4 linked regions of the Struthio camelus genome follow. The protein of the gene in region 1 purifies or fractionates together with the protein of each later gene. This does not show direct contact. Links are inferred from orthologs where the notes say so. Each region holds a gene or a part of one and is shown on either strand. Other genes may lie near its edges.

The links.
Region 2: the proteins of CRK (region 1) and EDC4 purify together in Homo sapiens (affinity purification with mass spectrometry; 3 studies listed by BioGRID and IntAct, with this or other methods). This does not show direct contact. The link is inferred for Struthio camelus from reciprocal best matches to the Homo sapiens genes CRK and EDC4.
Region 3: the proteins of CRK (region 1) and PEAK1 purify together in Homo sapiens (affinity purification with mass spectrometry; 4 studies listed by BioGRID and IntAct, with this or other methods). This does not show direct contact. The link is inferred for Struthio camelus from reciprocal best matches to the Homo sapiens genes CRK and PEAK1.
Region 4: the proteins of CRK (region 1) and SOS1 purify together in Homo sapiens (affinity purification with mass spectrometry; 6 studies listed by BioGRID and IntAct, with this or other methods). This does not show direct contact. The link is inferred for Struthio camelus from reciprocal best matches to the Homo sapiens genes CRK and SOS1.

The regions. Positions count from the first base shown.
Region 1 is NC_090957.1:15,834,180-15,842,039, reverse strand, and holds the start of CRK (adapter molecule crk), read right to left. Parts: upstream 3,019-7,860; 5' UTR 2,962-3,018; coding exon 2,718-2,961; intron 1-2,717. Other genes in the region: NCBP3 (nuclear cap-binding protein subunit 3), read left to right, coding at 7,448-7,600. UniProt on the Homo sapiens protein: Involved in cell branching and adhesion mediated by BCAR1-CRK-RAPGEF1 signaling and activation of RAP1.
Region 2 is NC_090951.1:24,306,674-24,314,326, forward strand, and holds the start of EDC4 (enhancer of mRNA-decapping protein 4), read left to right. Parts: upstream 1-4,650; 5' UTR 4,651-4,790; coding exon 4,791-4,869; intron 4,870-7,653. Other genes in the region: NUTF2 (nuclear transport factor 2), read left to right, coding at 1,876-1,989. UniProt on the Homo sapiens protein: In the process of mRNA degradation, seems to play a role in mRNA decapping. Component of a complex containing DCP2 and DCP1A which functions in decapping of ARE-containing mRNAs. Promotes complex formation between DCP1A and DCP2.
Region 3 is NC_090953.1:22,562,756-22,570,696, reverse strand, and holds the start of PEAK1 (inactive tyrosine-protein kinase PEAK1), read left to right. Parts: upstream 1-4,932; 5' UTR 4,933-5,100; intron 5,101-5,445; exon of another isoform or gene 5,446-5,627; intron 5,628-5,867; exon of another isoform or gene 5,868-5,884; intron 5,885-7,941. UniProt on the Homo sapiens protein: Probable catalytically inactive kinase. Scaffolding protein that regulates the cytoskeleton to control cell spreading and migration by modulating focal adhesion dynamics. Acts as a scaffold for mediating EGFR signaling.
Region 4 is NC_090944.1:139,621,260-139,628,670, forward strand, and holds the start of SOS1 (son of sevenless homolog 1), read left to right. Parts: upstream 1-4,391; 5' UTR 4,392-4,457; coding exon 4,458-4,544; intron 4,545-4,904; exon of another isoform or gene 4,905-5,888; coding exon of another isoform or gene 5,889-5,909; intron 5,910-7,347; exon of another isoform or gene 7,348-7,411.

The sequences.
Region 1 (7,860 bases):
TTCTCATTTTCCTCATGCTGAAAAACTGACTGCACAAAGTTAGAAACTGTAGCATATCAGGCAAAAGCTGGATTTAAGAAAATAAGGGTTTTGTTTTTTTTAATACTTCAGAAATGGAAGATATTTCATTTTTGTGAAACTCTAAGGCTTTTTATATTAGGGAAGACAAAGCTCCTCATCTCATTCATTCTGTATTGAAGCTACGTTCCTGGTATAATCTGCACACAGCAAACTTCAAGCACTCATGAATCACACACCTGCTTAACTGAGACTAACAGAAATCATTGTAATAACCTGATCTGGCATATTTAGATTTCTCAGTGAGAGGTGTGCATTTTTCAAATACAATCAGTTGCTAAGAAAGTTATACTATAGAGACAATTATGACAATAATGAAAATAACTTGATCACAATAAATAAATAAATATGACAATTTGCAAACATTTACCTTGTTTTATTGCATTACCTTCCCTATCCAAGTACGAAATCCTCTTGAATCTTCTACCAACGGTTCCATCTCCCTCCCATTCCAGAACATCCCCCCCTCCACCTACGTTTTTCTGAAAGGAAATCTATTTTTTTTAATTCTGCCAGCATTGTTTCTTTGCTTTCAGAGTGAGAAGACAGCAACTTCAGCACAAAGGCACAATTTAAAATCACTAAAACTTCAGCACAGAAATATCTGTAGCGCAGGAGCGGTGCCTCAGCTATACTCATAACATCCAGGAAAAAAATAAAAATACAAGGACAACCAAGATGTACTGATTTTTGCTATAGATTAACCCTACTATGCCAACAGCCTACACAGCTGCAATAGCACCTACCCTTCTAACACAGACAAACACTTAAGACAGAAAATAACTACCTATGGGACATTTAGTGACTAAAAAGAAAACAAAACACCAAAACACAATAAATTTAAAAACACTCATAACATGAACCAGTCCAACGAATACCACAAAACATTACTGAGGTTAAGAACGTAGTGTAAGATAAAAAAGTTGGAACAGCTATTTACTAAAGCAGTATCACAGTAGCTAGAATATGCACTTAACTACATGAAAAATACGGTTTTTCCAGAGAAGAGTTGCTCTGTAAAAGACAGCAGCCCAGCAAAGTGACTGGCACTCATACTCCACAGGGTCCTTCTTCACTACCATCTCCACAATCCTATTAGACTGGATTCCACAGAGGAGTATCCTGGTAACTTCCTGTGTTCTACCTAACACCAATCCTGCATTTTGCACAGTAATTCCTGCATCAAGCCTCCGTAAACCTATGACAACAAAAAATCTCTGTCCTGACCGACATCAAGCAATGAGGAATTCACCATGTATTCTGGCAAAATATTTAACTTCCCACGGAGGTAATGATTTCCACTTTACTTCCAGCTGAATTCAGCCACCTTTAACTTCTACCTTGTGAAGCTTTTCGTGTTTGGGGTGCGCTTGGCAGCAATGACAGGTTCCTAGGATAACGCAATGCCTTCAGGATTTTCCAAATTGGCCAATTTTAAACGTTCCCCTGAGCAGGGGAGATCACTGTATAATGGTGCAAACCTACTGGCAACAGGCTTGCTTCTTCTTAGGTTGACTCCTCCATAGTCAGCTGAAGTCCATGCAAAGACCGAAAAATCCTCCTACAGCAGATATTGCTGCATCTTCCCAATACAGGTCTATTATTCCAGACACAAATACCTACATCAGAAAGTGGTGGGCTCTGTAGCAATCCATATGCTAAGTTTACTTTCCTGCAAATAAGTTAGCCAGATCTCTTATCATGTAGCAGGTCTCCCAGACTTCAAAACTTTATAGTAGCTCCTTCCTGAGATGCTAGATGATATGCCCACATCATCTTGTAAGCATTAAAATCGAAACTTGGGTAGTTTTAGTAACGCATTCAGTAATGCCCCCAGCAGGGACACTGCTACCTTTTAACTCAACATTCTCACTTATACATCTAAGGATCAAGCACCACTGGGGACTCTCATTCATTTAGTTATGTCTATACTTTCAGAATTGCTCTAATGATCCATTTTTCCCTCTGACACAAATAGTATCTTCTGTTCTATAGGTGTTGCATTTAAACACTTTTCTTTCATATTAGATCTTACGGTGATGAGGAACAATATCAACCCTCCTTTTCAAAAGATGTGAAGTTTTTTTTTTCTCTCTTGGCATCTGATTTAAAGGAAAAATTGCCTTTATGTTCCTCAGGATTTCCCACTACTTGAACTACCCAACAAACACTTTGATTTACAACTTGAAAGTAAGCCTCGAAGTCTGTCTTCTAACGCAGAAGCACCTCGCTAGAAATCAGCTCTTTCAGGTGACATATCCACAGAAGGGTCCCCAGGCCCCCAGAGATGGCATGCACCGTCTATCAATTACCGCTAGCAGTTTTATGAAAACAAAAGCACAGGCGAGCACTAAAGCCATCGGATCTTTCAGGAGGGCTGCAAGGAGCGCACAGTCCCCGTGTTAAGCTTAACTACGTTATCAGGTCGTTTAAGGCTGGTGCGGACAAACGCCTCAGCTCGGCCACCAGCCCCAGCGGCAAAACGCGACTTAATTCCTCTACAAAGAGCTTCACGGCTGGAAGCAGCGCTGGGGAGGGACGCGGGGCCCCTAGGGGGAGGCGCAGGCCGGGGGGAGGGAGGCCGCCCTCCCCGGCACGGCAGGGGCTGGGGGGCACTGCCAGCCCTGGGGGTCACTCACCCGGGGCCCCAGGGCCCTCGCCGCCGGCCCGCCGGCCGCCCGCCGGCCCCAGGCTGTTCACGATGTAGTGCGAGACGCGGGAGCTCTCGGACACCGAGAGCACGAAGTCGCCGGGGATGGTGCCCGAGTCGCGCACCAGGAAGGTCCCGTGGCGCTGCCCCTGCAGCAGCGACACCGCCTCGGCCCGGCTCAGCCGCCCCCAGTACCAGCTCGCCCGGTCCTCGGAGTCGAACTGCCCGGCCATGGGGGCCGCCCGCCCGCAGGCCGCGCTCGCTCCCCTCCCCCCCGCGGGCTGCCGCCGCCGCCCGCCGTGCCCCGCTCCGCGCCCAGCCCAGCCCTGCCACCCAAAATGGCGGCCCCTGCCCTGACCTCACCTACCGGATGTGACCGCACGCGGGAGACGCGGGGCAGGCGTGGCGTCATCTTTCCGCGCGGGGACAGGAGCGGGAGGGGGAGGGGGAGGCGCATGCGCCGTAGGGAGGGGGGGTCGGGCTCTGAGGCGAACTGGGGACATGGCGGCGGTCGGGGCGGGCCTGGCGACCCCGGCTCGCCCGCGTCGGTGTACGGACACCGGCGAGGGCTGCTCGCCACCGGGATGACCCCCTCGGGGTACCCGAGCGCAGCAGCGACCCCCGCCAGGGCTCGCCTCTCCTCGCCGCCCGGCCGCCGCTCTCCCAGCCGCTTGGCGCCGACTCCCTCAGGGCCGGCGGGAGCAGGGCCCCGGGGAGGCGGGAGGGCAGCCGGGGCTTGCCTCTGCGGCCGGCTCCTCCCGTTACGAGGCTGCAGGATAGCCCCCTGCCTGTGCAGTTCCCTGATGGCTTCCCAGCTACGGGGGCCCGCAGCTCCCTCTGGTAATTCGTGTGAGGCCAGGCTTGTCTGCGCTCAGGATGGGCCGGCAAAGGGTGCAGCTCCATGTGCCCTTTCTTCCGGGGGTGTACCGGCAGCAGTAGCTCCTGCCCTCAGCTTCCCCCCCAGCCAAGGGTTGTGCCAGCACAAGCTGTTTTCATGAGGCTACGTGCTGAACTGGGCCAGTGAGCTGTTAAAAACAGGCCTGCAAAAGAAAAAGGTTATTTTTACCCAGATCAGTTCACTGACTCTGTTACTGCAGGGGCCTGCCACAGAGAAACGTGTATGTGGGCATGCACAAATTTAGATTTCTAGATTATTCTCCAAGGTCTCTCTTAAGTTCCAGAGGAATGTCTGTAGAGCCTGGATAGATGTCTATTGAATTCTTTTCCAGCTCTGCTCAGTTCTGTGAGCTTTTTCCAGAAAGGAATGTGCTTTTTCAACTGTGTGGCCTCCATGTGGCAGCACTTGCATAAATACCACGTTGGAGTACAGCTGTCCTTAACTGTGATGGTGCTGTCCTCAAGCCTGGCTGACTGAACCTCTTCTTTCTTGTAGGGCACTTTGAAGCCTTGTAACTATCTTACAGATGGGACTTTGGCATAAATCAGGTAACTAGGATCATATTAACCCTCAAAATATCCTAGCGAGAAAATATATCCTGTGTCTTACAGGTGGGAAACTGTTGTTCACCAAATCCATAAGAAGACACGAGGTGCTGGATATCTATCCGCTTTGGCAATAGTTTAACAAAGGAACATCCTTCCCCTGCTGATCCTGTTCTCTCTCCAGATTGACAGTAGGTAGGAGACAGTCACCATCCATGTGGAACCCAGAGCTCAATTCCCCCTACTGACATGTGGAGTTTGCTAGCCAGCTGCAGAATTACCTGTCTTTGGCAGTTCCATGCCCAAGTTAGTCACAAATTTGGAAAGCTGCAGCCGCAGTTTCTTGTTGAGAGCCAAATAATCTAGGAGAGTTAAATCACTGTAGCAAAAAAGTGTCCATTCTGTCCAGTGGTTCACAGTCCAAAAAAAAAAAAACGAAAAACAAAAAACTCTTAAAATGGCAAACTTCTTCATTTTTCTGACTCCTGCCAGACCACTGTAAAAAAGACCGCTTTTGACTGAGGGCCCGCAAACTGCTGCTTTATCTCCCTTCCCGGTCCCCACCCTTGTACCCCATCACCCTCTGTTTTGAGCTGAACCACGAAACTACAGGAGATGGAGGAGGTTTACATGCATGGTTTGGCTTTCCCTACTGCAAGCCGTTGGGAATCTTATTGCAAGAGTTCCCTCTGGTGGTCAGTGATGGGGAAATGAGTGAAACTCCCGATGAAAGCAGCTCCTTTTGCCGTTTTTGTGCCAGGATGATTTCTAACTCTGAGTCACTCTCTGACCCTCATTATTTGTCACGTTTCCTTTGCTTACTCAGGGCTTCTCCAGGTAACCTTTCCCAAATTCCTCTTCCCCTCTTCCCTTCCGTATGTAGCACTTATGTAAGCCCTCCACTCTGCAGTGGTTTACTACCATTGACCCATCCTTTCTGAACAAAAGCTACGATAAAGGCGGAGCCCTTATGCCCAAACCTGCATTCCTGTGCTGGCCTTTCAAAGGCAGAGGATTGCAGCCTGAGATGAATGGGAAGGAACAACAGAGTTCTTGGCCACAGTTTCAGAAGAATAAAACTAGATCAGTTTGTAATTCTGAAGAATTCACTGTTAAAAATTTAAACAAGATTCTGAAAGAAGTTGTAAGATACCAAGAGAAGATTCCATTGACCTACCTGAGAGCAAAAATGCTACCAGTGCGAGCTCTCCTTAACTGCGTGGTTTTCCTCTCTCAGTGCAGCTAAACTTGATTTCACTGTCCCTGCCAGTCCGCCTAGAGATGAATTTTCCTAAGGAGCATTAAAACTTCAGCAACTGATCTAAAACCACAGTTAATCAGTAGAAATGTTCTTGCTTTCAAGGATGTTAAAATAAAATTAAGGAAATACCTGGGCTAACTGAAGGCTTCATCTGCTCTAATAACTGCAATGCTAGAGAACCTGGGGTCACATAACCCCATCCTAACCATAAATCTGCTCTAGATCACAGATGCCAATACTGTTTCTACTTACAGAATGAAAACTAAGAGGAGGAAGAGGTCCACCTTTTGGTGGACCATGTTCTGGAGAAATAGCATTTCTGCCACAGAGATGTGTTTCCTCTTGCACTCATTCCAGAATTTCATCAGCTGTTTATGTCCTATTTACTACTCACATGTCCATGTTACGTATGTGTGTTTGGTCTCTGCCATAACTGTTCACATCTGGTTTGGAAGTATCATGTTTCTGTGGTTCTTGCCAGATACTAGCTACATGATGTCAGCACCAAATATAGCACGCTGAGGAGTGCAGCTGACATTAGCTGTTGTGTAAGGACTTCTACACAGAGACTGTTAAAAATAGTAAGCCTGGAAGGTGTGACTTGTAGTGAGAAAAAATATTGGTCCCACTGGAGTACGTATAAGGGCAGGAGCCTTTACGTTGCCAGCTACAAAATCTCTCCACACCACGCTGGAAAAGTCAAAATTGGCTACTGAAATTTACTGGGAAGTACTATCAAATCAAAGGAAAGGCGACATATCACAGGGGATAATTTTGAGGGTTTTGGTCAGAAATTGTACAAAATTGAGGAATGGAGCAGCCCAAGAAATATGAGGAATTTCTACTGAAATTGGCTGGATGTGACAACCAAGGTGGATGTGTAACCTGAGCAGGTTAGTTTAAAGTGACTGTGAGCTGCAGATGTGATGCAGCTGACAAAACGCAGCTGCCACGGTGGAATATATCAACTGCGGTGTCTCGCCGCGGAGGGGAAGCGCTGATGCCATTGACTAAAGCCCTAGCGAGCCCTCAGCTAAAACACAGTTCTGGTCTGCTGTGTCCAGGGAAGATATAGCTGAACTACAGAGATTAGGATAATTAGAGGAATGAAGAATTTGTTTCATGATAATGGATCCAAACAGTGTGACTTAGCCCAGTGAAAGGAAGGCCAAGAAGAGCTAGGACTTTTCTGTTAAAATAGCCCAAACTCAGCCCAAGAACAATAGGCTAGAGACTTGCCATGAATAACTTTTAAGCTGGAAATTAGATTTCTTTCATCAGATGTGTAGAAATCCAGAAGGACCTTCCTATAGAACAGAGGGGAGCGGAGAAAAAAAAAAAACACACTAACATTTTAAGGAGTCAGATCATTATAAAAGTCATTGTAGAAAGCAGAGCCTGCGCTGACAAGGTCTGGACCTTACAACCCATCCCCTCCATCTCATTCTGTATTTCTCTGTACAGCATGTATTCTTTTCCCTACGACTTTTCTGCTTTGCTCTAATTTTCCAGACATAGGAGAGCACATGGCGGCGCAGCGGCTCATGTGAAAGGATCCCACGGATCCAAGGCCTGCTCCTCACACTCAGACGTTCAGTGCTGCCCAAGGCGGGGCAGGCATTCAAAATCTCAGCAAATTCACAACAGAAAAATCCACTCAGGGGTATCAGCTGCAAGCGACGCCATTGAGGGCTGGAGGAAGGCGGCGCGCCTGCCTCCCTTCGCCCTTCCCTCAGCGCCCCGAGGTCAGGGCCGCGGCGAGCAGCTGTCTGTGGGGAAAATGGCCGCTTTAGCCCTCTGCCGATCCGTAACGCTGGAGGACCCGCGGAGCCGCCCTCTCACCGCGTCTCTATGGCGCTGAGGCGCACCAGAGCGGGCCGTCGGCGCCGCTCCCGCTCGTAGCCTTGGGTGGCGCTCTATCCGCCTTGTGGCTCGGTGGTGGCTGTGGGCGGCGGCGCTCTGCGCCGCGGCGGGACCGCCTCGCTGGCCGGGCCGAGGGCGGGCCTGGCGGAGCCATGGCGGCTGTGCGGGGCCTGCGGATCTCGGTGAAGGCGGAGGCAACGGCGACAACGGCGGAGCCCCGCGGCCCGGAGCCGGAGCCTATGGAGGTGGAAGAGGGCGAACTGGAGACCATCCCCGTGAGGCGCTCGCTGCGGGAGCTCATCCCGGTGAGGGGCGGGAGGTGGGATCGGGGCAGGGGGGCGAAGGAGGGACCAGCCCCGGGGGAGGGAGGAGGAGGGCCGGGGGCCTGTGAGGGGGTTTGGGGGCGCCCGCGGGGGGAAGGGGCGGCGCCCGCGAGGGGGTTGTGAGGGGATTTGAGGGAGGGGGGCCGGGGGCCCCTGAGGGGAGTGTAGGAGGAAGCGGCCGGGACGTACTTGGGGGGCGCAGGGGGTAAGGGAGTCGGTGGGGAAGGGTTTGAGGGGACTGG
Region 2 (7,653 bases), on another chromosome or scaffold:
CGACACCAAATAAGACGAGAATTTTCCTTATCGCTTTGTCCTTCACGTTTTATAGTAGTTTAATATATATTACCCTTTCTCCCCACCCAGACATGTTTTTTGCAGGTTAGCGTTGTGCTTAATTTGCTGTAATCAGTAGGAAACTGGATGATCTGTCTTGCCCTTCTCTGGCCATTCCTTATTCTACTGTGTAGAAATACATGCAGGATTTGATATGTGGGTGCTCTGTGCATTTATGTGGTCGCATAATTATGCATTTCTGTTCTGTTCCATTCCTAATAGCTGCTAGCACTTTGCCTTGATAGCTGTTGAGGTCTGAGGTGGTATTTCGAAAAAAAATTGTCCATAATGATTTCAGTATCACTTTCCTGAGAGACAGCAGCTAATCTTGGGGCCCTTTTTTGTTTTCCTCCATGGATTAGTCTACACATACTGATACTGCATTTCATCTACCTTTTTATTTCCTAGGCAGTTGTCACTGAAACCCTTGCAGTCAATTTTAGGGTCTTTTAGATATTAGATCTAGATTTTAGATTTGAATGTTCCTCTTATGCTTTAGTTATGCACTTAACTCTACCAGTACTCTGGCAGACTTCCTGGTTCTGATGTAACTTATGTCCTTAGGAAGTTGCTTCTCCTTTGTTTGTTTCATAGTTAATTCATCATTTGTGTTCCTCTTTAATTAGAGGATGCTTTATTTACTTCTAGCAGCTTCCTTTACTCTGTTCTTTATTCTTGGCTTTTTCGTCCACTTTTCTTGATGGACTGCAGAGAACTCAAATCCACCCAAAATTAGGTTCATTCAGCGTTTTGAGTGTTTCATGCATTCCTCTGGCTGCTGCTTTTTAATGGTTTAATGCTTTTTTCACTCTTTTCCTGGAGTTTAATAGTTGCATGCTGAAAGATTAAAGCTTGAATACTCTGGAAAATGTTGAATGGAGTATGTTATGGTCAGTATCAGAAGGGGTTTTTTTGTACCTAGGTACTATGTACTGTTCAGCTGGAGATCACACAATAAGATTTAATGCTGATGTGAGAATCAATCACTTATGTTATTTTATGGCTTTAACCCGTGCATGATGTCACTGAGGAAACTGGTAAACGTTAGATGGGAGGACTAGTCTCTCTCATACTGTTTTCTACTTTTTTTTAGTCCCTAACACCTCTAAATGTAACACAGGCACTATAACCCCCCCCCCCCCCCGCCACAGCTGAATTGTCAAAGGCAGAAGTCGAGGCACCACTACAGAGATTCACTCTGCTAGACATCCTGTCACAGCTACAGCAATTGTTTAAGTTATTTTGAGCTGTTCATGTACAGTAGAAAATGAAGTACTACATGGCTGGCCAGCTGTACATGCTCTGGGAAAGATTTCAAAAGCCTAGATCATAGCAGAGATCATTCAGGCAATATTATTGATACTGACTCCTACAAAAACTCCCTTCTATGACAGATCCATACTACAGCAATTACCAGCTAGTTTTTAAAAACATTAATTATAATTTCTTTACAAATAGTTCCTAGGCTATGGCCCAACAGAAATTTGTGACTAAGCACAATGAGGCAGGCATGTACTTATCAATGATGTGAAGCTGCTGGAATGAGACATCTGCAACAGTCTTCCAGAAAACCCCAACAAACTGCAGCAGGTTCAAATCCTGTTGCAGGATTTGTGTTGTGAGGCCTTAGGTGTTTGTTTGCTAAGCAACTTCAATACAACCAGAGGCTCTGTTCTAGTTGTTTCCTGAGGTTCTGGACATGCACATGACTTCACTGTTAGTGTTAGCTTTTTAAATATTGCTTAGAGTGTTGGAATGCATTTCTCATTTAAAAAAATTTTTTTCAAACCTTTTTTTCCCCCTCTTTCTCCACAGGCTGATGAAGATCCTATCATGGGATTCCACCAGATATTTCTATTAAAGAACATCAATGATGCCTGGGTTTGCACCAATGACATGTTCAGGCTAGCACTGCACAACTTTGGCTGAGCTGGAAACCCCGAGGCACCCATGCTTTTTTCTTCTCTCTTCTTTCTGATATTATTCACACTCACGGAACATTCCAAATATCATACACAAACCTGCAGCACTGCAGAGCGTGAGCAAGCAAGACCTGAGACCTGCCCTTCTGCCGAGTTTACATTGTCACTAGATGAGTTCCTTGTGCATGATGTTTGGAAGTTACTTAGCTGCATTTGACAAGAGAAATTTGTGTTGTACCAGCATGCCTCGGAAAGAATTTATAATGCAAAGGGTTGCTGTTTATGTACTGACAAGATGCTTTATAACCCAAAGAAATGAAAGAACAGCAGCCTGTACAGCCCAGATGTTGATTTGTTCGGATGTTTTGATGCTACATTACACAATAAAACCATGAGATTTTCTTAACAGTTTAAATTGTTTTTAGCAGTTGGATATTGAGTATATGGTACTACTTGAATTAGGTGGACACAGGGTATCCAACCTCATTGGGAAATGTTTACAAACACTTAAGACTTTCACTGGGGAAGGCTGTTCAGGTACGCCCTTGGCCATACAACTGCTTTCTCCCTCCTTCTCAGCAGCTATTGCAATGGTGGCTTCTGGCTCAGTTTTTAACATTCTGCTTGACCTGTTAGATCTTGGCTGCTGTTAGGCTTTTGCCTTTGCAAAATACAAGATACTACACAAAGATTACAGTCATGGCAGCCTGTGTTTTATCTTCATGACATTTATTATGTTAACCCTCAAAGCTAAACAAGCCAGTTCTATCTTTTTTGTAGGTAGACACAGCCTGATACTTGCCTCCAGATGTCTGAAGTACTTAGACAATCTAGTATCCTTGAATTTGCATCCAGCCCAAATGCCCTTTGGCAGCTTTATGCTCTATTATCCTTTCAGCATTCCTTCACTATAATTTGAACTAGTTGATAGTACTGCATTTGCTGTGCAGTGTGGATGTGGGGTTTTTTTCCCCTCCAACATCATTGACTGTCCTGTATCACCCTGAAGGTGGCAGCATTTCACTAGTGAATGGATTTATTAAATACTTAACTCTTTCTGGAATAAGAAATACCACATGAGCAGAATCATGTTTGGTTTACCTTCATAGCTGATTAAGCCATTAGGCCCAGACTTTTAGGAGCTTAGCATGCCTGGCTGAGGCCAGGCTTTCAAAGTATATTGAACTTGGCATTTCCCTTAGACTTTACAAGAAAGCTGGGGCTGCAGTGTGGTCAAGCTGATCAGTTCTCAAATCTGGTTGCTTTGATGTTGAAATAGGAATGGAGCTTTCTTGAAAGTTGATCTTAGGGCCTGCCTGTTTGGTATCACAACATTTCCATATGTTCCCTTTGTGCTGACTGATTTGTTTCAAATGCAGTACTGTGTCCCTGTTGCTGTTTCTGTGCTATTGAAATAGCATTCAAAATTTATCACTTGGAGAGACTATTTTAGTAGAAGGAGGCATTTTGCATGGTCAGTGCTAGGCAAAGATCTTTCTGTTGTAGACTACAGCTCTAAATGAAGTCTGGCTTATGAACCTTGCCTTGCAGGAAGATCTTGTCCACTATGTGAAAATAGTCCTTTGGTGAGTTCAAAGAGCTAAGAGAGAGGTTTAGTTTCCAGGAATGCTACATGTTGCCAGTGTTAGTTTAACAGCAAATCTAAAATGAAAATTCTTTAAACCCTTAAAACTTCTTTGAAGTTATCCCATGCAGTTGTAACTGGCTATAGGGGGAGGAAGTGGGCCATAATAATACTTTTCCACAATAGTACTTTTTTTTTCCCCTCCTTTCTCCACGGAGTCATTCATTCCTGGTTCCTTACCTGGAGGAAACAAATGCCAGTGTTTCTGAATCAGTATTGCTTAATGCTTTCAGATCTGCAGGTCACTTTTGAGGCCTGTGATATGTGAACAGGTTTGCTGCCTCTTAACTGAATGCTTCTTTCTTGTACCCTTGTCTCGGTGCAAGTGTTAGACTGAGCCCTGAACAGTCATGTTCCAAGTTAGGGGGCTTCTTGGAGAGGTGGAGATAGCTGCCTGTAGTTGGAGAAAGGGAGCATTACATGTGATGGGTTTTTTTTTCCCCCAAATGACCTGTCTCACCCCTTTCAGAGCGAAACTTCTGGAACCCTATCATGGTATTGCATGCAGTTTGGTTGGAATTTCATACTGGCTTTGAAACTAGTGCTATTCATAGCCACATTAAAAATATGTCTTAAGAAAACTCTGAATGTGGTTCTTGAAGGCAACAGGTAATCTACTTTGCAGGGAGCTATGTGAGGATAGGGAAAGGAGGAACATTTTCCTCTTCAGAAGAAGGGGATGACTTGCTTCTCTTCTCTCCTACTTAATATCTGCCTTTTAATCGCCTGAAGAAAGCGAGGCCCAGCCCTGCTCCTCCAGCTCCTCCAGGTGAGAGGAGCAAGGGTGAAGCCTGGCCCGGAGTCACGAGTGTCGGGGTGGGGGGGTACCTGGGGCCCCTGGCGGCAGCTCCCCGGCCCCTGCGCGGCCGGGTCGGGCACCTGTCAGAGCGGGGACGAAGGGAACTCGCTTCAGCCCCGCCCGCTGGAGCAGCGCCTGGGGGCCGCCGGCGGCCCTGGCCCGCGCTGTCTCCCCAGGCGGCAGCAGCCCCGGGGCGGGGCTGCTCTGCCCCTGCCGCGCCCGGAACGCGCCGGCCCGGCGGAGGTTTCCGCCCGGTGCTTCAGCAGCGGGACCGGAGGCGGAAGTGGGGGCGGCGGGCTGGGGTAGGTAGGGGTAGCGCGGCGGCGGTTGCGCGGGCTGTGGCGACAGGAACCGGGCTGGCCCCATGGCCTCCTCCTCTAGCATCGACATCGAGGACGCGACCCAGCACTTGCGGGATATCCTCAAGCTGGATCGGCCGGGAGGTGAGGGGACCGGGGCCCGAGGGGGCGCGGGGAGGCCGCTGCCGGTGGGCCCGGTCGCCGCTGTCGCCGCCGTGGCGGTGCCGGCCGCAGGTGTCAGGAACCGTGCTATCCTGCCCCAGACCTGCACCACAAACCTCTGCTCAGCCACTTGGCCCCGTTGGGGGGGGGGGGGAGGGAAGCACCTGTTCGCGGCCCACAGTGCGCTGTAGCTTTGCCGTCGTTGTTGCTCAGGGCCCTCCGTCTCGAGGCCGGGCCCTACCCGTAATTTGGGCCTCGAGCCCCACGCGACCGGAGCAGCACTGCCGTATGGTGGCCGCTGCCTGCCCGCCTTGCGCTCACTGCTGGGGCACTAGTGGCATCATTCTCTGTAGCTCGGGGTGGCTGGCTCCATCCCTCTGAGGTAAGAGCGAGGGTGGTCAGGGAGTCCCACTTGCCCTGAATCTTTTGCCAAGGAGCACAGACTTTAGTGGCAAAGTTTGTACCAGCTGGGTAAGGAGAGGACCCCAGTGACTGGTAGCTCAAATAAAATCCAGAGCAGGCCCTCGCTTACAAGAGACAGCATCTGTTGCTGAACAGGGCCTGGAAGCCGTGTGGACGCAAAGCTCACTTTTTCTAGTGAGCTCTAGTGATTTCTGAATTCTCTTTTCTAAGAGGTGTCGTTGTCTCTGAGTAGGTCAGCACAGTTCAATTCTCCACTCAAGTCTCTCTCCTTTGTTAAAAAAGTTTTGAGGTCTTTGAAGTTTTCTTACTGGACTGAGTGGATGGGGCTATTTGGTCTCTCTGAGATTGGCACTGTCCTCACCCTTTTCAGTCCCTTTTTCATTTGAATGTAAAATGGGCTTCGTGTCATAAACATCTCTCTAAAAGCAGTGGTGAATCTTCTCCCTTTGCTTTGAGCGATTATACTTCTCTGCTCTGAGTTCAGTGGATCAGTCAGTGTCTTTCTACCCATGAGAAATATCTGTAGTAGACGGCAATGGTCTTAGCAGTCAGCTGTATAAAATGTGTTCCAACTCCCTTTTAGCATAGTATCTCTCTCTCAACCCCCCAACATAGCTTTTGGACCTTCTGGACTGTTTCAGTCTAACCTGGTAGGGTAGTGAGCTGAAGAAGATTGTTCCTAGATGTTTTGCAGAAGCATAGTGTATGGATAGAGAACAGAAATTATGCCCTCTTCCTTTTCCCTCATTGAGAGCATAAAGAAGAGCTTCATTTTTTAAGTGTCCTGAGAGACAACACCCAGTCTGTCAGTACAAATACACTAATGCCAAGGCAACTACTGTATGTGCTGTCTTTTGCTTGGTCAAAACGATGAGAGGTTGGATGTAGGATTGTTGTGAGGGAAGTGGAGGCACATGGGGTGACAGATGCAAATCTGTCGTAAGCCAGGGTTTGTTAGTTTTGGTGTCCATAGAGAAACTTCTAATTAGTTGAAGTAGTTTCTCTTATTTTTGGAACACTTAGATTCCCCAGGATTTTAATACTAATAGTGTAAAAATACACTTCTCCTTTATAGTGCAAGGCTTTGTACTTGAAAGATTGAAAGGAGAACTCAATGCTGTGATGGGGAGTGTTTGTTTCATGAGCAATTCATGAACTGGAAGGATGTGTCGTAACTGGGAAATGGTTGAAGTTGTTCTCTCAAGGTGACTTGACTTCCCCCTGAAGCAGCTTCTCTTGCTGTTAGAAGCAAAGGAATTGGTCATTGAGAATGGCTTATATCTTTTCATTTTTCTTCTTTGAAATTGATTCCTGTCCTTTGCATCTCATTTTCTTTATACCTTCTCTGTCAACTCCAGCGCATGAGAAAGTAGTTAGGAGGAAAAGGAGTGAGTGGACTGCGAGTCAAGCAGTAACGCGCCTGTATTTGTGCTCAGCAGGAAGTGTTGCCTGTGTAGCAGCAGAGACTTTAAAGAGCTGGACAAAATGAAGAGCAAGAGTACTTGTTTGTTAACTGAAAGGCTCTGAAAGGCCTATGAACACAACAAAGGGAAAGGGAAATTGAGGGATTGATTCATCAAAGCTTTTGAATAGAAGCAGTGCCATGAATTGCATGTGAAGGGCTAGTCTTGTCTGGCATAACAGCTGCTGCTGTCAAGATCCTCTCCAGTTCTAGTTTCTGTTATTCGTAGCATTTACAAACTAAAATACCCCACAAAGAATAGTGTAGCTGCTTTCCAAGCCTCTGAACAGTAAGAAAGTTTTGCCTTGCAGTTATGAGCAGTATTATGTTATTCTAGGTGCTCTCCGAGCACGTGACGAGATGCTCCCTGCTCCAAAGAGTTTGCAGCTATTGTAACACTTTCTTTGTTCTGCTGTTTTTGGTGGTTGTGAAAATGCAGTTCCTCACCTGTACCCCATCTCTCTTGATAGAGGTTTTACTTGATTTCAGTGTATATCATTCAGAACTTCAGTAGCTCTTGCCTTTTTTTGGTGTCATTCCCTCAAGAAGGGAAACTACAAGATTAAGCTATTTGTCTCCCAGCTGAAGCATGACTGCTCTTCTGAGCTGTAGATAGGGTGTTGATGCTAGTGCAGGAGAGTCCCTCCTGGGGGTTCTGGGCAGAATCCTTTAATCCATGCTGAAATCTCCATTGATACTAGGTGTTACATGGATTCACCCAACTCACGTGACATTTGTTGGGGAAGTATTCTTTTTAATACAAAATAGTGTTACCAGGTGTAAGTTATGGTGGGAGCAGAAAGCGTTCTGTATCTTGCCTAAAAGGTAATGATTATGACTGGCTCTTCTTTCCCTTTGATGGCCAACGTTAGGGTGGCCAA
Region 3 (7,941 bases), on another chromosome or scaffold:
TCAGATATACTGCCACTTAAGGTCCAAACCATTTCTAGAGGTGACAAATATTTTGAAGTGGCAATTAAAGAAAACTTCATTGAGAATTTCTGCACAAACAATCCCTCAGATATCACAGTATAATTAAAGACATGGAGTTATCTTTTCATATTTGAATACACCAACAGAATAAAAGCAGACTTTGTCCAGCAATGCAGTAAATTGACAAGAAATCCTCTGTGTTCTGCACTAGAGGAAGAAAAAAGTATGGAAAAAGTACTCAGAAATTGAAGTCCATCAGTCTTAAGTCTCCTAAATTCAATTAATAACTGACACTTTCACCATACTCATTCTCTTGACTATATACTTCACATGTATTGCTGTCATCAGTAACAACTAAGTCACTCAGACTTTCAGCTAGGGCAATTCTTCTCATTTTCATACCATAACAACTCTGAGCTATAAGCGAAGGCTGTCAGCTATCCCTCTTATTCTCCCAACCACAATGCCCAAAAGGCATATTCCAAGGTCTTACATTGTTCTTACTGTTTCTTCAGGTAAAGAGGAATCTGAGTCACAAGAATTCCAGAAATAGTGAAGTAAGTATAAGGATTTGCTTTGCTGTTCATCGTATGCCACATAAGATGTACAGCCCAAAAAAACGAAATCAGTTAGCCAAAGTCAGCTAATGCCCTAGTCTCCTGGGAAGGAAAGCAGAATCGTTTGTTTCTAGGGTCAACATCTTTAACAAGTCACTTTGAAGACAACCTAGTAAAGCTCCCATTTAATATTTTCACTATTAATAAAGATCTGCGTCTGCCTTTTGAGAGAACGTCAAGGAACAAGGAAGATTTCCTAATACACTTAGAAACACTCAGTCATTCCACAGTAATTGGTTTTGTTCCCTTCTATCACAGCATGAAAATTCCTCCCAGCTAAAAAACAGTTATTCAAATCTGGCTCTACCAGCAATTCACCAAAAGCTGCAGTTACCAAATTGTTCTTTAGTAGCCTTTCAGAAACAGAATGGCAGTTCCAGGTTTGTCCCTAAGAGACAGGTATTAATACCACAACTACAGAAAAGAGTATTACAAGATCAGTCCATTTAACATATCTCGCTGAAGGTGCATATAAAAACTCAGCTCCAGTTGTTTTGCACCCATAATTCTATATAGGAACAGTATCAGACAACACACAGTAAAAAGTAATAGCTGCCGCGTGACCCATAGCTGCACTACTGACCTCACTGGAGCAACCACACCATTGTTCATGGCACAAGCCAGTTCTGTAGACAGATAACGATACAAGGCCAACATTGCAGATCTTCCCAATGAAGGCTAACCTACACTGCTAATAAAAAACTTTAGTTACTGCTTACACTGGATATAGTGGATACCAACTAGACTTGGCAGCTTTCAAGAAACAAGTCCGCTGGATTAAAAAAAATAATGTCCTGAAAACAATCTGCTCTTAAATTCATACTCAGTGAACACTTAGCAGCAAATTATTGTTAACTACCACCCTTCATCTCTCAAAAAGAATTGAACTTTTAACAGTTTCCAGGAACACAAGAAATTCCCTCTCTCTTTCTAGCAAAAGTTATGAAAGTAAAATAAGGAAGCTTAAAGGAACGTTGAAAGCAACTAGTTTTGGGCAAGCCCTAATGCCAACCAAATTACAGCCAAGAAGCAGGAAGAACATTGCACTAGGGTACATGAACAACTGGCAAAGAAAAAACCCACAAGACACCCTTTCCTCATTCACCTACACTCCACAGAAAAGGACATATAGGTTCCCTTGAGTTATCCCTCTCTCACGCAGATCATCAGAAGAGTAACTATGTTATTCCCATTACTGTAAGTCCAGATTCTTCACCTGCACTGTAGTATCTTGTGCAGTACCAGAGTTTCTCATGGCATATCCCACACCATGCGGTTCTCCAACAAACAGCTCTGTGACCTTTTCTGTAACGTAAGTGGGAGTGCTTCACCTTTTCAGTCGTAGTCCTGAGGGACCGGGGCAGGGGAGAGAAGTGCACCAGGAATTCAGAAACCTAAGTAAGTTTTAGTTAAGCATGCTCCAGACTCGTCTGCAGCCTTTGGTCCAGTCAGCAGCAAACCTGAGAAAGTCTCAAACACATACTGTGGAAAGCTTGAGTTTGCTTTCCTAGGCGTGAAGGTGTATCTTGCTTATCAGGCTAGCTTTGATACTACAGTGACCCTTTATTTCAAGGCATTTCTTTACACAAGCACTTAAAAGAAAGTATCCAAAGTTAAGCTGAACATATTAGTATGCAATTGTCTTAACTCCTATCCTCTCATACCAGGAATAACTTCATGGTGTCGGTACAGAGAAAACTACAGCTCACAGTCACTGCTTTCACTCAGAAGTCTAGGAGCACCAAGGAAATCAGTAAGTCTTGTCTGATGGCTGCTTAGAGAACTGACATAGAAAGCCTGGGCTTACCATGGGACAATGCCCTGCAAGAACAGAAGATGGAAGAAAATAAGACTCTGTCCCTTCTCATTTGCTTTCCTGCAAAGTACTAGAATTTGTGATAAAATAGAGTCACCACCTAACAGTCAAATACATACAGAAGAATTGAACTCTGTTCTTAGGTCCTAAAGAAACATCCCTGCAGAAATAATCATTCTCCTCTCCCTTTTCTCAGCTATTAGGAAGAGGGGCGCTTGTCAAGCTACTACCTAGGGGCCCCCATTATGAGCAACAAAAGGAAACTAAATATTTAACTTACAACCAGGACAGTGGGGTTAGATCACTTACTCTTCAGTTTTTCTATTTTGAGAACTGTTTGTATTTTTACAAAACCTAACTTAAGAAATTTAGGACTAATCTGAATGTTCCACCTTAGTCACAGTTTGTAAGCCTAGATCTACTTAGGAATAGGAATTTCAAGTTCTGTTTCCAGATCTGACAGACCATCTGTGGACAAAAAAAAAAAAAAAAAAAAAACAATTACCTTCCCTCAGTTCCTTGAGGAAAAAAAAAAAAGTAGTATTTGCCAGCATCTAAGCCACTGCTGTCATTCTAGAAATGCAAAGAACCCAGGCCCTTCTAAGAAATGCATAATGTAGATGTATTAGAAAAAGGTAAAACGGCATTTCGCTACTATCTTTAAATAGGTAATTTGTATGGCACTATGCGCATGGCCTAGATTTTAAAAAATCATGAAAATAAAGTATTTGTTTTCAACAGCTGGTCAGGTTTCTACTTTTATGAAATTAAGAAAGAACATTTCAAAATAACATAGGTAAACTTGCTAGTGCACAGTTCCTTCCAAATCCTTATGCCCAGTTCTGCCATTGACTTCTCATATAGCTTTAGCCAAGCTTAGTACACCTACACAAGTCACTTCCCACAGAAAAGAAAGGGATTTTCAAAGATCTACCATGAGTTCACCTGCTAAAAGAGGTATTAACTGTAAACCAACGAAAAAGTTTCCTCTCCAGCAGCACTGTCACTAATATGATACCTGCCTACTATTTGGTTAGACGGGAATAGTCTTAACAAGTTTTGAAACTTAAGTGCTTTAGAAAGCAAAAGCTCCCTTTCTCTGCCAACAGGATTTTTTTTCCTACAGAGGAAATAAGAGAATCTTTTTGTCCTTTCTTCCCTCTTTTTCCTGGATGCCATTAAGTAACACGAAAGCACACTAATCTTTCTCATTCACAAGCTGATTCTGAGGGTCTTTCCTTTGACTATCTCCAATAACTAGCTCTGCATCCACTCCTAGCTCTCTCCTAAGGCACACCACCACAGTACTGTGAAACCTCCCACCATTCACCCTGCTCCAGGGAGCGGGACCAGGCCAGGTTCACTCTCTGCTGGCCTTTCAGAGGATTTGAATGAATGGTGCATCGCAAGACACTCCAGTACATTCAGATTCCGGGGTCAGGTGGTTTTTTTTCTTTTTTTATTTTTTTTTTTTGCAACCTCGGTAAGATATTTAGGCTCTTCAGAAACAGGCTGAAAATCTAGCAAAGAAGGGTCAGAAAACCATACTATAATAAACCACCTGCCTGAGAGGGAACGTTACTCGGATATGGCAAAATAATAAATACATAAAACATAAGGGGTCACCAAATACCATCCTTGCCTCTCGTCGCTCCGGGGGAAACAGGGAGGAGGGCTATCAGGGAGAAGGGGGAGGCCCAGGGCCCAGAGCCCCTCGCAGCTCTTCCCCTCACCCAGCGCGACCTCCGGCGGGTCCCTCACAGCCCCCTCGCCGCGGGGCTGGGGGGGGGGAGGGGGGCGGTAGCGAAGCGGGCCAGGCCCGGCTGCCGGGGTACACCGGCCCCGGAGCCGCCCGCAGCCCGAGCCACCCCGCGGGGCCCTTCCCCGCCCGGGGAGAGGAAAAGGGCCTGGGGCCGCGGCCCTCCCTACTGACCTGCCGCAGGGCCGAGGGGTCCCGGCGCCGCGCGCTGCCCCCAGCCCGCGCAGCCGCCGCACGCCTCCCTCACACACGCTCGGCCGCCGCACCGCTCCCCGACCCCGCGCGGATCTCTCCGCCCACGCCGCCCGCCCCCGCCCGGCGAAGCCTCGCAGGGGACGCTACGGCGGCGCCGCCGCCGGCAGCCGCGGCCTCCTGCTCGCGGGCCGAACCGGTGCCGCAGGCTGGTGGGGGGAAGGGGAGGGAAGCGGCCGCAACCCGCGCCGGGACTATTTTCTCCCCGCAGGCGGAAGCGCACTATTGCTGTGCGCTTTTTAAAAGGCCCGGCGGTGGGGCCGTGGGCGCGGGGCCTGCTGGGAGCTGTAGTCTTTCTTTCCCGCCGCCGGCCTCCGCGGCTTCCCCCGGGGCGCATCTGGCAGGCGGCGGGCTCGGCGTGCCACGCCCCCTCGCCGCCCTCCCAGCCAATCGCCGCACGGCGGGTTCTGGTGAGCGCGTGGAGGGGAGGGGAGGGGGGGGTTAGGCGCGCGCGGGGGGCGGTGCTCGGAGTCGGTGGTTGCGCGCGGGCGAGGCAGGCGCAGCCCCGTCCCGCCGGTCGGTTCCTCCGGCGGCCGCGGGAGCCGGCACTGACGGAGCCTCCTCGGCGCCGCCGCCTCCCTCCCCGCCGCAGCCCGGCCGCGGGAGGCGCCGTGGGGCCGGGGAGCCCCAGCCAGGTACGGGGTGGGCGCGGCCCTGGCCCTGGGGTGGGGGGCGGCGGCCCCGCTCCCGCGCGTCCCTGAGGAGAGGGGGGAGGGGCGGCGGCGGCTCGGGTTCCCTCAGCGCGGCGGCGGCCCGGTCCGGCCCGGGTCGGCTCGGCTCCGCGGAGCGGGACCGGACCGGACGGGACGGGACGGGACGGGGAGAGGCGCCGCCGAGGGGCCGCGCGGCCCGACACTCTCCCCAGGCGGCGCCGTGAGCCCGGGCCGGGCCGCTTGTTGCTGCGGCGGAGGGTCCGGCCGGCGCCGACGGCCGCGCCGCCCCCGCGGGGCCCGAGCGCCGCCCTCGCCCCGCCGCGGCTCGGGCTGGCGGCTGGCAGCGGCCTCGGCGCGGCTCAAGTTTTGCGGCCGGGTCCTGCGGCGGGGCGCGGGCCCGTGCGCCGCTTCGGCCGGCGCGTCTGGCGGGGCCGGTAGGTGCGGGCGTAGCCGCGGTCCCGGCTCCTGTCGGCTTTGCGGTGCCGCCTCTCCTGTTGCGGGACTTGCAGGTTGGTCAGTCCGGTTGTCTGGTTTTATCGCTGGTGCGGGTGGGACGAGGCAGGAAGGGTCGGGGTCTGCCTCGCGACCGTGAGTGAGAAGAAGGGAATACAGGGCACTGATTAGTTATTTGCCCAGCAGCTGATACCAGGCACGGCATGGCCAGGCTGCTCTTAGATGCGGGTGAGGGAGAGCGTTGCCTGGAGGGTCTCTGAAGGCGAATTTAACGGGGTCTCTCCCCAGAAAAAACTGTTTCTATCTACTTCAGGTTTGTGCCATTTCGTTTTCTAGAGCTCGGCTTTCATTCTTCTTTTTTTCACTTCATAAAGGGCTCTGAAGTTTCTCCACTTACTCTTGGCGGTTTAAACCCTGTCTGATGTCTGCTAAAGCACTTTATTCTTGTATACGCAGGGAAAAAAATATTACACAAGATATATGGACAGGAAGGAAAGGACTTGCAGCTGTTCTAAGAGCCAAGACTTGATGGAATTCCAGTAATTAAGTTCTATAGTTACAAACTTGTATAAAATTACCAGCTCAACAGCCACCTTTGTTACAAATCAGATGCATTTAGTTCTGTGTGACTCTTGGGTGACTTACAACCTCCCCTAGACAGTTTGATTCCACTAGTATCACAGAGCAGGAAATATTTGCGGATGTTTTATTTGCTCAGTTTGACTAGTTAGAGCTCTTAATCTAATTTCATACTGACTTAAAAAGTCTTGTCTGTAAAGTAGCTATGACTTATCCAGATGAAGCATCTTCCTGGCAAAACTACTGCTCTGGTGTGTTTTCAGGAAAACCTCATTTTGTCCTCTAAAATGCAGAAGTATGCAAGAAGTGAATTACCCGTTTTCCATGAGTAACTTTCCATGATTAAACTTATGTATTCACTTCATGATAGATTTACCTTATTGTTAAAATATCTCATGTAGGTAACGCTATTCACTGACTTCTGAAATGACTTACTTGCCTCGTTCTGGGTGACTTTAATGCCTCCTCCGTGTGTGGATGGCACAGTGGCAGCCCGGGTGTCATTTGTGAGGTTGAACAGGAGGCACCAGCTGCAAAGGAGCGGGGAGCCAGCAAGCTTTGCTGCCTGGCTTGGCTGGTGCTGGGCACATTCGCCCAGCTGCACCCCCTTGGAAACAAGCAATTGATATGAGAGCGAGCTTCATTCATGGACGCAGGGCTTGGATTGCCTTGTGTTTTAGAACATACATAGATATAAGCAAGTAAACAGATATGCAGTTATTTTGAAAAATGGACGTTTCCCCTTTTTAGCTAAGTCTTGTGGTTACTTAAGTAAAATGGAGAGTGCAAAATACCATTCCAATGTCTTAGGTAACTTATGTTTCTGACTTTCCAGCTCTTTTTAAAAAGTCTATTTACAAACATATATTTACCAAAATGCATATTATTTTGTATGCACTTACCAAATAAATGAATTGGCTGGAATTGATCATTTAAAGATAAATAAGGGGGGATGCTGTTTGGACAAATGGCTTCAGCGGGAGTGGGTTCTTGCCTAGTCAGGGTAGTCAAATCTTTGAGAAATCTATTGTAACTTATTGTTTAGGGTCACAGATGTTAGTAATTGCTGTTAAGGTTCTCTATTGTGCTAGGAAAAAGCTTACTATCAAAATAGCAAGCTGTGACATGTTTTCCTCTTCTCCACCTTGTTTCCTGAATTTAAGCTCCTACGTCTCTACTGTCCTTTTCCTTTTTCCTGTGTAGTTTTTGCTGTTAGGCTTTCCTCCTTCCTTCCTCCTTGGGATGAGTTGCTCCTCTCATCCCAATCTGGAATTAAACCCTTCCACTCCTCCTGGTTGCCCTTTTTTCTTTTTTCCTTTCTCTAAAGGGATCCTTTCTGGTCATTGCTTTGTTCATTCTAATTGCTTTCTGAGAGATTGACTTTCAAATGTTGTTAACTTGATAGTCCTGTCTCTTTTTTGAATGAATAGCTGTGGATCTTTTTCTCCCCAGCTCTTGAAAAGGGAGCTCAAACAATGTAAAGAGAATTCTCCGTATGGATCTGAGATGAGGCCTGTGTCCTGCCGGCTTCCACATAGTTCCCACTTCCCGTGTGGCGGCAGCTCCTGCTGGAATCCGGCCGAGCTGCTCCCTCCCCTGTAGTCAGTGTATCATAGCCCATATTCGGGTAAGGGCAGACCATCAAAATGCAAATGACCTGGGCATAATAACGAGATAGTGTTTCACTTGTGAAAAGCATTGATAACGTGAACATTATGAGACTACCTGATGTGAGAAGAGAGAGTGAAGAAAACACCTGGCATGGGAAACTGAAAATGAAGCTTTCTCGTC
Region 4 (7,411 bases), on another chromosome or scaffold:
CTGGATATCGGGTAGAGCAAGAGGTCTCCTCTGCTAGGCCTGCAGCTGCCCTGAAGCAACAGTTTCCCAGAGCCACGCTTAGTGGCAGCTTCCAAAACCACCCTTCCTGATGTAAGACTCTGTGGCTGACTGAAAGGAGCAGAGTCATAGCGAGGGAACTGAACTACAGGCAAGCCTACAGCTAGTTAAAGCAGCTACTCTAACAGCCTGCCTGGGTTCTGCTTTTCTCCCTCGTCCCAGCCCCATCTAGTCTGGCTGCTTTCACTCCTAGCCGCTCGCATGCAGAAGTGTGGTGTGGCCAAGCGATAGGGCATTCACTAACCTGGTAGCAAAGTTTTGATCAGTGCAGGGGCCGAGCTTTGGTGTCAGTTCAGACTGAGCTTTCTTAAAGATATTCCAGTCCTTTGCAGAGATGTTCCTGGAAGCACGGAGGACAGGGGAATGAGTGCTGAATATCCTGTTCTTGCGCATCTCTACAGGCAGTGCTGGCTGCCCCTGTCAGAAATGGGAAACGGGGACGTTCTCAAAAAGGAGGAGGCTCAGATTTGGGTTTTGCACCCCACCGGCATCAACTGAAAGCAAGAGCATTGCAAGGTGACACCCTTGTTGCTACCTACTTGTTCCTTACAGCTTTGCAATCATGACCCCGAGATCAGACTCCATGTGCCCTGGGCTGGGGGCACCAAGAGGTCTCTGGGCAGCGGTGGGGATGCATGCAACCACCAGGCTGAGGCACTGGGCACAGGCAGGGTGACTTTCTTGCCTCATCACAGGCTTTGGCTTTAGCAGTGCCCTGCTGGGTTTTAAAGGGCTCTATGTAAAAGGGCTGAAAAGAAGCTGATAAAAACAGGGAATGTGCCTAAACCTCTTGCCTCCCTTCGAGGAAACAGTCCAGATTGATCTAAAACATGGATTATAGGGAGCCATGTTCCAGGCCTGTATTGAGGGGTGCAGAGGGAGCTGTGAGGGGACACATGTCTGGAGAGGGGCAGGCCAAGGCAGGCCCTGGTGGGCTCTCAAGCTTCCATTGTGGACAGCGATGCTGGAGAAAGCAGTTAGCTTGTCTGCTTCCCAGCATCATCCTCTATGATATGGCTGCATCACTGTCTCCTTCCCTCCTTGGGGAACACCTCTTTGGGTGCAGACGTTCCCCCTAATTAGCTAGTTGGAGCTAATTTAAATTCAACATCATTCAGGTCCCCCTTCCTTTGTTCTGATATCTGACCGGCAGCTACTCCCAGCAGCGTCCTGCAGTCCAAACACAAGTGTATGTCTTCAGCCCCTGTCAGTCACTCCTGGTGGCATCCCCTCCTATCCCCCACTGGCAGTTGCTCAGTCAGGAGGGGTGCTGTCACTGACCGTAAGCCCCGGCTGCTCTTCCAGCCCTCAGAGGAGAGTATGGCAAAGGGCTGCTGTGCCCCTCCAGCTTGTCCTCCTCTCCCTCTGGCAGCAGCCCTGGGCATCCCAAATGTCCCCATCCTGCCCATGCACGTCATACACCACAGACAGCCTGCAAGCCACCACCACACTGGCTGCAGCCTTTCATTTCTGCTGTGATGACAGCAAGAGCGATCAGCCTCAGCTTTGCCTCTCTCGGTGTAAGGGCAGGTCGTCCTGCTGCCAGGCTGCCTGCATCTCCCCTTGCCACCAAGCTTTCTCCTTCCCCTTGTGCTTTGACCCCTCTGTTATTAAGTCCCTCAGCAGCTCCTAGCTTTTAACTCCATGCACTTTCCTGCAATAGCCTGCTCCATAGTGAATGCCAGGAAGGCTGCAATCCTCCCTCCAGGTCCTTAGGCACCCTGCCTGTAGCAACGCACATGTTTATATCCAGTAACCAGCAGCACCTGCACCTGATTGCACTTTGGCTGCCTCTGCTGCCCTCCATGGATGCTGGGCCACGAATCCAGAGGTCTGGGACTGCAACTGGTAAGCGAACAACATCTATTGCTCTCAGTCACGTTCAACTGATAGGTGGGATTTTTCCCATCCTGCCTTAGATGCTGGTTTAATTTTGCCATGTTCGGTGAAGCAACAGCTCCCCAGACAGCCATAGCGATAGTTGCAACTTGTTAAGTTGCTTCACAAGTGAAACCGCACACTCCCATACAGCACACAGAGTGTCTGCAGTTAGGCAGAGAACAAGTGGCCAGTGAGGAACCTGGAGTGCCTTGTCCACATCGACAAACCCAGGGCCCCCCCAGGCATGGGGGGCTCATGGTCCATGCTGGACTGGGCTGGGCATGGCAGGGTCCTAGCCCCGCTGTGGAAAATGGCTGTGTCAGAAGGGAAGCCTTGAATTTGTGTAAAAAGCCAACCAAGCAACCCTAGGCTTTCACCAACAGCCCAAGTCATGACCACTTAGGCAATACTCGGTCCTCAGATGGAAGACAGCATTTCCTTCCTGTCCAGGTCCTCAGTGTCTTTAAAAAGGGATTTTGAAGTGGGCATAAAGGCATTGAAAGGCAGGAGCAAGAAGGCTAAATACGGGGGGGGGGGGGGGGGGGGGGCTGAGTGCTGATAGCTCAGAGTCACAGGGTGTCCTGTGGCCTTACCGAACATTTGAACCAACTGCGAATACAGCGCCTGAAATCTTACGTTATCCGATGCTCTTTTGTGGGAGTGGAAGAGATATTGTAGGCCATTCACTGGTACTCAGGGGGTCTCAGAACACAGCCCTGACACCATCTGACCATCACCTCCAAAGAGAGGGGCTGGAAAGCAGAGCGCTGGTGCGATTTTACACCCAGCGTTATGCATATTCAGGAGCTCCTGAAGCATAATGCTTCAGGATTTAAGCTCTGACAGACAGATTTTTCACCATAAGGTAATGAGTACAGCATCTTCCCCGTCTATCAGATGCTGAGACTGAGTGTTCCTGAATCTGCAGGCAGCCTGGCAGGCCAAAATAATAGCTCTGAGATGTGAAATTTCCCTCCTTTCATCCCTCTTCCAGCATGTTCAAAGCAGAAGTCTGACTCCTTCAGACAGGAGTACCTGTGTAGAGGAAAAATGCCCGAGGCAGGGCTGAGGGGTAAAGATAGCTCTTTCTGAGAGGCTAAATACATTACCTGCCAAAGTACTGCTTAGCTCCTCAAGAACGTCTCCTGTCCCCAGAGTGCTTCACAAACATTAATTAGCCAAGCCTCCCAACACGCATGCCATTCCTGATAGATGTTTGTCTAACCAGTCCTTGAGACGAAGGAAGACTCCGCAGTCTCTCCGAAGCACTCTGTGTGGGTACTTCACCCTCCTCCCCACTAGAAAGCTGGTCCTAAGCCTTCCTTTCAGTGATCATACATCTTTCCTATCCCTCTTGCTCTCTGTGCTCCCTAACAGCACCTAACTATTGCCTCTTCCGGCCCTTGGGCCCCCGCACCTTGCGAAACAGAGCAAAAACTTCTCCTCTCCAGCATCATCCCTCCCTCCATCCTGCCTATCGGACCCCACTGACCACTGTGGACTTTGTGGTGCTTTCCGCCAAGAACCAAGCTCACTTTTCGCCCTTACAGCTGTTCTTGCGCTGCTTTAACAGGGTGTTCATTTACCTGTGATCTCTGTCCACATGCGAGATGACTGGACGCGTCAGAGACAGAAGTCCCCGGGCAGGCGTCGCACCGCCTCACCGCCGGCTACGTCTCCGCGTGCTCGAAGCCACCGGGGCAAGGAAGGCTTGTGAGGACATGGGCTGCCTCGGGGACGTTAGTAACGATCCCTGCGAACTGCCGCTCGCCGGCAGAGGGGCGGAGGGGAGGCAGGCGCCCCTCAGCGCCTCACAGGGCTGCGGAGCGCGGCCCTCACCGTCGCTCCCTTCCCGTCTCTCCTCCCCGGCGCCGCGGCCGCTTCGGGCAGCGCTGCCGGCGCGGGCGAGCGGTGTTTGAGCGGTTTCACCTCAGCGCCCGAGCCCGTCCTCTCGCGGCGGGGGCTCGGCTCGGCCCGGCCCGCGCGGCCGTTAACGGCTGCCCGCCCGCAGGGGGCGCGCGCAGGGGATGGGAGGGGGGGGAGGCGGGCGGCGGAGCGCGACCACGCGTCGCCGCGGCGCATGCGCGGGGCGGGGCGGGGCGGAGGGGGGGGGACGCCGCCGCCGCCGCCGCCGCCGCGCCTGCGCCGTGGCCGCCAGCCGTGCGGGCGAGGAAGGGGCGCGCGGAGCGCAGAGCGGCGGCGCTGCTCCCCCGCGGCCGACCCCGCCCCTCGCGGCCCGCCGGCCGCGCCGCGTGACCCCGCCGCCCTCCTCCCCCCCTCTCCCTTCCCCCCCCCCCCCCGCCGCGGGGGCGACCGCCGAGAGCCGGGCGGAGGGGAATGCGGCAGCCGCCTCCCCCCCCCGCCGCTGGTGGCCTGCCGGCGGCGGCCGCGGCGGCGGCGGCCGCGGCGGTGGTGGTGGTGGTGGGGGGGCGCCGCCGCCGCGCCTCGCTCTGAGGAGCCCGCGCCGCCGGGGGGGGGCCGCCGCCGCCGCCGCCGCCATGCAGGCGCAGCCGCTCGCCTACGAGTTCTTCAGCGAGGAGAACGCGCCCAAGTGGCGGGGGCTGCTGGTGCCCGCCCTGAAGAAGGTGAGCGGGGGCGGCGGGGGGGGGCTCGCCGGGCCGCGCCGGCGGCGGCCTGGGAGGGGAGCGGCGCGGCGAGGCGAGGCCGCCCCGGGCGCGGCGCCTGGGCGGCCGAGCCGGCGGAGCCGCCTGGCGGGGCCTGGTGCCGCCGCCGCCGCCGCCAGGGCTCTGCGCGCTCCGGAAGCGCCTTCCCTCGCCGCGCCGGCCGGTGCCCGCCGAGCATCGCCGGGCCGGGCGCCTCGTCCCCTAGCGCGGGTTTACCGGTGAGACGGCGAGTTGGGGAGGGGAAATCCTCCTGAGAGGATTTTTGGTTTAATCAGTGTACGGGTTAAATGGCTTTTTTTTCGTTAAAGCCTGTCTCGGTGTACGTGCTTCCCGCTGAGGAGGCGTCGTGGGAGCGGGCTAGGGAGCCCTGCTCCCTCGGGAGGGTGGTGAAGGTGATGGCTGCGGCGTGGAAAGAGTTGATCGGGAGGAGAGGAAAAAATCGTCGGGGCTCCTTTTCCGCCTCTGCCGCCAGAGTTCAGAAAGTAGAAGGCTTAAGATTAAGCTTCAGACGCTCCGGCTCGAACCGGCCTCAGATCGCTGGACTCGGTCAACGCTTTTTAGTCATACGCAGCAGCGTTTTACGAGTCTGTTTGGTTATGGTGATTAACTTCGACTCCTGCGCGCCCAGGGCTAGCTGAAGCGTTGGGTTCCCCAGCGCGGACTGGAAGTCTCGAGTGTTGCTGTTGTACCCGTTCAGTATTTCTTCCCAATTTCCTCTTGCGATGTGTTGCCTCACGTTTTTCTGGGCATGCTCTTTGAGATCTCCTGCACTGTGTGGTTTCATCCAGTTCTTGGAAGTCCTCTTACTTGTCTCATCCGTAGGCTAAGCTGTCAAATGTCTTATCCCTGATCATTAGTCACTTTTTTGAAACTAAACTTCTGGGCTGACCGTATGACCCAGGCAAACCCTGCTTCTTATGGCGCTTTTAAGCGCTTGGGCAGCCAGCCGGCGGAAGCTTGGTTGGAACCTGGAGCTACCGAGGTCTGAACCCCTGAGAGCTTGCTTTTGTGGCGGGTGGGTTATTCCCCCACCCAGAGGTTCATCAAGTTTGGAATGAAGCTCAGTGCTAAATGCTGGAGGAAGAGAGCGAGGATCCAAAGGCAAATATGAGTTAAGACTTTGGAATTACTTGCTACATGTGAAGCACTAGTTTTCATCCCAGTGGACAAACCATTCGTGAAGCCGCCCTGGATTGAAGATCCTCACCGAAGGAGCTGGATGAACGCTTTGGGGAAAAGGAGACAAGGAATTCTGGAGTCGGAAGTCAACAATCAGAGAAGGCCAACGATGACCAGTTAGGAAGGATGACAAACCGGCCAAGCAAGGTATGGTGGTCTTGATTTCACTGTGTTATGCTCTGTTTCTTGTTGTGTGCAGAGGGATGGCAGGAGTGATGTGGAGTTACTACTGAAGACTCTTCTACACTCAAACTTGCAACTGTGTGGCAGATGTTAACTCTTCTAACCTCAGCTCTTCATGAGGTCACCACCTGTTTCTTATCTGCTCCCAGGCTGTAGTCCAGTGTGCTCCAGAATCATAGTCCTCTTTGCTTACTGTTCCTGTCCCTGCAAATGTAGAAATGAAGCATCTGTCCATATTGCCATCTACCTTGCTGAACAGCTGGATACTCTAGTTACTCGATACTTAAATGGCAGATGAAAACATTAAAGCTAATGGAAAAGCCAAACAGAGTATTTTACGAGCTTGCGTGGGTACACGTGGTCGTAGCTAGAGTGTTTAATCCTGACGGGCCCTGTAAAGTTATGAACATAATTGGCAGGTAAAGCCATCAAAAATACAACATGCTTGCTTTGACTATCTTCTTTATCATTGAATTGCTCAGAAAACAGAGATGATATTGCAGCTTTGCAACCAGTGGGCTTGAGACATTGACCCTTTGCTGTGCTATAGGCCGAGCGTATAGCTAGACGTCAGTGTGTGCAGCTGGTAAAAAAGAGAACGTGGCAGCATATGCCAGCAGGGTCAAAGGGCAGAACTAGCCTGGAGGGAAACATGGTGCCTTGTGCCTTTTTCTGCTAAGTTGCTAGGGTAAGCTGTCGCAGTCAGAGTCAGATTAGCTGAAGCTCAGGAGCATCCCGTGGTTACTAGTGGAGAGCTTTTTCCTCATGACTCCCAGTTAGCTGGCCAGATCCTGATACTCGGTCTCAGGTAGTGACAGCAAGTAGCTTTCTGAACTCTCCCTTAAAGCCAGTTAGATCTGCAAACGGGGTTGTGAAGCTTTCCTGTGTATTTGGAAATGAGACTTGACAATTTGGAAAGGCCTGTCTTTGTGATCAAAGTGGTATCTCTGATTAGGAGAGCAGCATTTTGATTTAATGTTGCCAAAGTATGTACACCAGGATGGAGTGTTCCCAGCCACTGGGGAGAACTACCACATGTGGACTGAATCGTTAAACTGCCATTACCCTTTTGTAACTTTGAGTAGGCTTGTTGTGTTGAGTCTAAATTATAGCCCCAGAATCAATTGCTTACAAGCCGCGTGTTGTTAAACCATTGAAAATATGTATTTTTCCCAAGGAGTTGTTCTGATTCCATGTTTTTATGAAACAACACAAAACAGAATATGTTGCAAGAACAAATCCCTTCCTACATCAGTGAATTTTAGGAAAGTATGCCTTGTCTTTCATTAGATATTGACCTTAACAATAGGCTCTGTAATGCACTGTGTTTGCATGGAACAGCTGCATTCACAAAAAGCAGCTCTTGTACCATTCAGATCATAATGTAATCCCTTTTCTCCAGTTCTCCTTCAGATGCTGTCAAGATAGACTCCAGTGCACTCAATTAGGAAGAAAATGATGTGTAC